Linked DNA regions of Lytechinus pictus. The protein of the gene in region 1 interacts with the protein of each later gene in a pairwise test. Links are inferred from orthologs where the notes say so. Each region holds a gene or a part of one and is shown in the gene's direction. Other genes may lie near its edges. The genes, in order: axin-1-like and glycogen synthase kinase-3 beta-like.

What was found.
Region 2: the proteins of axin-1-like (region 1) and glycogen synthase kinase-3 beta-like interact in a two-hybrid assay, tested with the Drosophila melanogaster proteins (2 studies listed by BioGRID, with this or other methods). The link is inferred for Lytechinus pictus from reciprocal best matches to the Drosophila melanogaster genes Axn and sgg.

Annotation. Positions count from the first base shown.
Region 1 is NC_087254.1:17,714,606-17,718,542, forward strand, and holds the start of axin-1-like, read left to right. Parts: upstream 1-717; 5' UTR 718-1,083; intron 1,084-3,234; exon of another isoform or gene 3,235-3,470; intron 3,471-3,615; exon of another isoform or gene 3,616-3,937.
Region 2 is NC_087252.1:13,175,819-13,179,755, forward strand, and holds the start of glycogen synthase kinase-3 beta-like, read left to right. Parts: upstream 1-1,307; 5' UTR 1,308-1,781; intron 1,782-2,094; 5' UTR 2,095-2,466; coding exon 2,467-2,605; intron 2,606-3,937.

The DNA of each region.
Region 1 (3,937 bases):
AGATAGATAGATAGGTAGGTTGGTATAGATAGATATAGGTAGGTAGGTAGACAGATAGATAGATAGATCGACAGACAGATAGATAGATAGATAGATAGATAGAGATAGATAGATAGATAGATAGATAGATAAAAAGATAGATAGATAGATAGATATAGATAGATAGATAGATAGATAGATAGATAGATAGATAGATAGACAGACAGACATAGATAGAGATAGAGATAGAGATAGAGATAGAGATAGAGATAGATAGATAGATAGATAGATAGATAGATAGATAGATAGATAGATAGATAGATAGATAGATAGATAGATAGATAGATAGATAGATAGATAGATAGATAGATAGATAGATAGATAGATAGATAGATAGATAGATAGATAGATAGATAGATAGATAGATAGATAGATAGATAGATAGGTAGGTAGGTAGGTTGGTTGGTATAGATAGATAGAAAGATAGATAGATGGGGAGGGAAAGGGAGAGAAAGACAGGCAGACAGATAGAAAGAGGAAGCGAGAAGAGGATGAATATTGATAGATCTGAGGGGAAGGAGAATAGAGGGGAAGATGTGAAGAGATGAACAATAGAAGCAGAACGTTGAATGCTGCGGTATATATGGAGGCGATACGTTGAATTGGCAGGGCTTCGTGTCGGCATAGATCACAGAGAGTCGGCTTATTTTTATTGCTCGCGATAAATCATTAACACCCGTAAAGAGCGGAGTAATGAAGGCGGTATTCTCGCTTCGGTATCCCCGCACTAACAGTTCCGCGGTTCAACTTATTGTACATCCCCAGTATCCCCCCTCCCTGTAATATTCATGCCATCGTTTGTGATAGACGATTCGCCTTCCGACTTCATTCCTGCTTATTCATTGGCTTAGGAGGAGAACAGCGATCTAGAGATTCTATTTCTTTCTTCAAAAATTAATCGTCTGAGAATTATTTGTAAGAAACAAATTATTTACTATAGACCTACCGGTCGAGTATATGAATCTGAACACAGGAATTGAACATCTATAGCTAGACGGTAGACCCTTTATGTCACCGTTTTAAATGAGTCAGTGACGAAATCAGGTAAAGTCATATTAACCAAATATGTTGTTTCCTTTTGCCACCGGTATACCTCGTTGTTTCTGGCGATTTATTTTTGTTAATGATAGTTTAATATTTTGATTTATTAAAATATAGGACCATTATTTTTTGCTTGATCGACTTCCCTTGAAAAAAAGTGGCGAAATGAGAAGAAAAAGAAAAGAAAAAAGAGAGGCCAGACGTGGCATATTTTCCAAACAATATATGAGCGTGCCAATCGAGTGATTTTTTTTTAACTTTTTAATAAAAAAATCTTAATTTATGATTGAAAGGTGATGTATTTTCTTTCACCTACCCCCCCCCCCCCGTATCACACCCGTATACCAGTGCTTGAAATACTTGCGGATAGGCTATTGCATTTATTGTTAAACCTCATTTAATTGGTATATAATTTGTGGTACACTCAAATGATTGTATTGTTCACGACTGCTATATATATGCTATATATATGCTATATATATTTCATTATGTAGGCATATATCTATAAATTAGGCTATTTGGCCTAGAGGAAGAGAGCGGTGACTTTTGAGGTTTTCCCATAAATTCAACACTTTTTTCAAACATTGTTTCTCTTAAAACATCATGAAGTCACCCCATTGAAAAAATTATCTTTATACCAAGAGACCTATATATGCTATGGATATTTTTGTTATTTTGATTTTTTTTATTAAATTTATTCATTCATTTATTTATCTATTTTTATTTCCACTCATGGATTGAACGCTCTTATTATCTAAATGATGTTCTTTTAAAAGTGTTGTAATTGTTAATATCGGTGTCGATTCCAGCTTAAAAAATGAAGCTTCGTTCCATTTTTGGTGAAGGGAGGGAGGGTGTGTCGATGCGCAGGGACTTCTAAAATCCTCTTATTGCAAATTTCCAGAAAAAATGCCGTAAGATAAATACTCTCTTTTCAACTTGAAAAAATAAATAGAGTCTTTGTGATAAGTTTAGTTGCTTTCCTTGCTTGCTAATATGCTTTAAATAGTGTAAGGACTACCTTTTCAAAGAAAGAAACTAAAGAAAATTCTCCATAGAGCCTTTTTTTTAGTCATATATCTTGACCAACTGGTGATGGGGAAAGGACCCCAAATGTTTGTGATTATGATAATGTCTGAATATTTGAAAATGTTTGCCTGTTTTATCGCTATCGTATAATTTCAGAAATGTCAAGTATATCTATATTGGGCCTCATTTTATTTTGCTTCAGCATAATATAGGCCACATGAATATGTCAGAAACTTGATTACAAATGATGTTATCCCCCCTTTTAATATTCATATTTGGTATTCCTGTATACCACACTTATCACAATCACAATTGAATGCCAAGAGTCATAGAATGAACGCCCTGTAAATTCCAGGCGAGGAATAAAGCCAGGAGAGTCCAGGTTGTAAAAATAAAATACAAATAAAAAACGACGGCGAGTCATCACAATTGTAGCCAGTGAATTTTTACTGCCTGAATAAATCTCGACTGTGCATTTATACGACGCCGCTCTCCTAGTTTTCATTGTAAATAAAAGCGATGGACCATGTCATCAGTGCAGGAAGGAAGGCCAGGGAAAGAAACAAAATTAAGAACCAAACTTAATTTAATTTCAACAGACTTTTTACAAGAGGGTGACGGTATTTTGAAACCTCTAATCCAAACTATTTTAAAGGGATGTCATGATGTTTGTTGAATATACGAGAAGAGATATTCCTAGATGTATGATGTATTAGAACACTGATAAAATCCCATGCATCCGTGTAAATCAACATTTCTGCCAGGTTCAGAGATAAAGAAGGAAAAGAGCCAGGGTTAGGAGAAGAAAAATCTAATCATTTCTCACGCTACAATGACAGTGTGACCTGTTATGTTACAAGAGCAAACTTTTAGACTTTTAGATGAGTTTTGTCTTCTATTGAAGTTTTATTACGATAGTTTGCCTGTTCAGCCGATACAGTTTATCACATCGCTATTTATCTTATTGGAGTTTTCTGTGTTGCGTAACGCAACGTGCTTTGAATATTATCTATACCTTATCTATTTACGATTTGGTGAACACCCCTCTATTTCCTAGTGGAAGTGGTCCAGGCAACTTAATGAATTGCATTCTGATTGGTGCGGCTTGTCGTTTGTGTGTACGTCACTGCCCTTTGGGAGCTTTTCGGGCGGCGGGCATGTGCTTTGATGTTTCATGCACTTTGCAACACTGAGAACTTCCTAGGCCCTGTTTGTGTGTGTACGTGTGTGTGTATGCAGCATGAGCATCCAAAGTGACTTGCCATTTTATGCCCAGTTTCGCCATGCCTAGCGTACGAACGGTTTGCTTGCATCGAATCTGATCAGCGGTGAACATAATATTTCATTCCAATGATTAGAAGGTAAGGAAAGTGTGCAAGTTTAATCATATTGAGGAATTTTAGGCTAAAACTCAAAATTACCTTTTCATTTCCTTTAAATATCGTGTAACGATATGTTGCATCAAAACACGTTTAACTTGGAGTTGGATTGGACGGTCCGGCATGCACCACACATCGCACTCCCGTCCCGTGGCTTTCTCGGGGCGCTTATTTGGACCATGGATGCATAGAGCGAGACTACGTTACGCTGGCTCCATCTGCATGGCCGTTGGCGTTACTTTCTGTAGCTGAAGTCTGGACCATAATTCAAGAAAACTCTGCCCAAACTGGATTTCACGGATATCTACTATCTTGGATTATCACACAAGTGGATCATAAATAAAGCGTAAACAGAATTTGAGAATAACTGGTAAAACAGTGAGGTTCGATTTGTTCTTCGCATAACCCTGGACGTCGTGCCGTGGTACACAGTCAATGCGTGGTGGGCG
Region 2 (3,937 bases), on another chromosome or scaffold:
TTTAAAATAGACCCAAATTTTGGTGGATACATGTACTGACTACAAAAATGGGAATTTTACATCCCGAACTCTTGCAAATTATTGCTCAATAGGAATTAAGATACTGTAGCCTACACGTACATTACATGTCATAACAAATTTTTATGCTAATTTTGATATGCAAAATGAATTTATGCTTATTTGTCAAAATTCACATAAAATAATTCTTCTTGTTGACTGATTTTGATTTTTTTTTCTTCCATCTGGTAGAGCTTTATGAGGTTCACCAAACTTCTACACTGAATTTTGAAATTTTAAGTAGTTTGAACATTGTTTACAGTAATTTATGCAAAATTTATTCATAATCACAAAAAACGCTTATTTGTTGACAAATTTTGCTTTTTTTATCCATCTGGTAGAGTGTACATGTACATGAGGGTCATTAAACCTCCACAATTTATTCAGAAATCACAAAAAAATGCATTTTCTCTTTCGTTTGTTGATAAATTTCAATTTTGTTTGCTTTTAAAATGGTAGCTCTATGTGGGATACAAAACTTCTACACAGAATTTTGAAACTCATTTAATATGCTAATTTATGCATATTTTTCAAATCTCACAAAAATGTTCATTTGTTGACTGATTTTTTTTTATCCGAGAGCTACATGAGGTTCACCAAGGTTCTTTCTACATAGAATTTAGACATTTTGACTCAAAAAATATTAATCCTAATGTATAATATGAAAATTATTCAAAAATCACAAAAATGGCTTCTCTATTTCTTCATCAAATTCAATTCTGTTTCCTCAATTTACGTCACCAATATAATTCACTACAGTATCAACTGGGCTGAAATTAAAACTTGTGTTATATTTTGCTGCAAGATGCCAGATGAGCACCACGTCATTGATGTGCTAGTTATAATTTATGTCTGCAATTGATAGGGATCTCTTTTTTTTTCCTGCATAAGAGGTGGTTTTTTTTTATTACACAGAAGTGTGCAAGCAAGTTCATTGTTACCAGTACATGTGTACTGCACTTTGTTTTATTACACATCAGCATCATGCAAATAATTAGACTGTAGCCTACTATGTACATGTACTTATGTACATTAATTTAATACATTGAAGGTATGCAGTCAGGAATGTGAATTACACGTATGCTTGTTCATGAAAGGAAGGTGCATTCTTTTCCCTTTTTCTTGATCATGTAACAAGCATGTCAGGTATGCCACCATATTGACAGCTGGTTAGCTGAATGAATCATTGAACTAGGGCATTCATCCTCAAATTGGCAACCATCCCAATGCTCAAGTACATGTATGTACACACAGATTTGCTCATACTGTACTCACACACACACACACACAAACTCTATGTACATGTACACAGATGCATGTTGGTGCTCAGTGTAATCAACATATTACATGGATGTGTCTGTGTGTATTGCGCAGGCCCTGCAAGTGTTCACATGCTCTGCTGCTAATCACAAAAGCTTGTGTACATTTCGGGATCAGTTCAGACTTCACATCCAAGTCAGGGACACCGAGCTCTTCCTTTCATTGTCCATTCCTTGCGCAATCAAAACAAACCGCATTGTGCATTGTCTGAAAAAAAGGACACTCCATTTGGGAAGTCCATCATTCTGACGGAGATCCGTGGAGGGTCTGTTTTGACAGGAGGGATTGCAGCTACTATTGATTTGTTTCAAACTGCTGCAGTTGCACTTGGATGTTTGAAAACTTTGGAATTTTACCAGGAGAGGTTTGTGTGATTTGCACAGCTGAGCATCTACACGCGCTGGGTAGGACGAGCAACGCAGGGTGTTGAGTTACAGTGTTTACAATCAAGAAGTCAACACTTCTGCCTTTCAAATCTCACTGCTCTTGAGATTAAATTATTTCATTGCAAGACTCATACTAATAAATATGCAAGAAGTGATGCTCATGATTATGGATGATTGAATCTGACTTTTTTTTTTTTTACAATAGAATCAAATTTGTGCTATTTGAAAGGGGAGGACTACGACTACTATGATGGTATTCTTGAGTTGAAACCTGTTGGAGATCTGAATTTTCAGAATAATTTTTTTTTTGAAATCTTCCCCTATCCTACAGTCGCTAGATTCCAAGACCTTCACAAGAAGTGGATCATTCCAATTTGTGTATCAGCCTGATCGCATATGAGTATGGAAATCTTGAGAGTAATTATCCTGTGATCTGTATTAAAATTGATTCCTGCCAATTTTTTATTACATGTACATCTTGATGTGATCCTGCATGCTTTTACAAGCTTTCCAGATTTGTTCAAAAAAACATTTTTGATAACTTCTGCAGTTTAATACTCCAAGAGAATATTGAATTTCTTGCAAGGATAGTGGATCCTTACTAAATTGGATTCCTTGCTGTCTTTGACACAGCATTTCTTTTGGATGATACTTTGTGCTTTGATGTTTGAGGACATTTTGCCCCTTCTGCAGAGATTTCACAATGTGCACTGTGGAGCGCCCAGCAAGCGGGGAGTGGTCGACACATCGTCGACCGGTATCGTCGGCCTACAGCAAAATCGTCACACCACGCATTTCATCAACAAAAATCTTGCCTCCTACTTCCACTTCAAAATCAATGAGTATGTGCTTAAAAAAATATTACTAGTCAATATTTCCGATGTAGCCTAGGAATTCATAATGAAGAGAGACAAAATGTGTTTTTTATTGGGGGGGGGGGGGCAATTTAATTGATACTGGAAAGTCACACAGCGCAAGAGGCGATTATACTGGAGCAGCGCAATTCTTAATATGCACATGTCCGATAGGATATCACAATTTTAATAGTGATAATCATACAGTATTCAAATTGCACAGTCTGAGCTATTAAAAATCATAGGTGTATCGTTTGGTTGGGGTGTGAATTTTTGCATTTTGTGAGAGCAGGAATAGTTATGATTATGAATTCTCTGTACAGCTTTGATACATTTTGCATCACGGTATTGATAATAAATAGGGAATTGTTGATTACAAACCTAGGGGCACCAAGGCATTTCCAATTCTGATGTTCAAGTGAAGCCTTCAGTATGACCTGGGGGTTATTGATGCTTTCATAATGGATTTCTTTAGGGGGGGGGGCAGGGGCATTGCTCTCATGTAATATTGATTGGCCTATATTATATATATTTATTTTACAAAAAATCAAGTGGTTTACTGTACACTTTTTTAACATTATTTTCCCCTTTTTTTAGTTCAAAATACAAAATAACTGAACTTAGGAATAAAAATGTGAAACAAATATGTTGGAGGATTGACAGATTTTATCGCTTTATGCGAACAAGAACAAGATCGAGCTGGCACCCCTGTGCCTCAATGAAACCATAACTAGAGGAAATGCCATATGATTCAGCCTATTACGGACCGATCATCCCCTCACAGCAAAAAGGTTGATAAATCCTGCATTTCTATAAGCACTTATGCCCTTGTAGCTTTTGACAGATAGTATCATGTGTAATGCATGTGCTTGTCACTCTGAATATTCTTATCGTGATTTAAATCTTCTTTCTCTGTCACTGTATCCTTTGTATACCTACACGCAAGTATAGGGGCATATCAAGGTTTCAGAGGGAGGACGGGTGGGGGAGGGGCTCTTGTAGGGTGGGGTGGGGGTACTGTATATTTAAGGGGAATCTTGGCTCGGTTCCAATCAAAACGAGTAAAACAATTTCCAAACATCTGTTGTATACATGTAGGCCTATTAAAAATAGAAGAAAAAATTCTAAGGGAGAAGACCTATTGGCCGGGGCGAACATCTGGGCATTCATAATCTCGAGCCCTAGAAACTGACCGGCCAATGAAAACAATGCACTAGCGACCCATACTGTGCTAAACGTCATGATAATCGCGTGTACCTGTTTCGTTATCTGGAAGTTTACGAATCTTTCTGAAATTTTCAGTGCTGCTTCTGACATTAT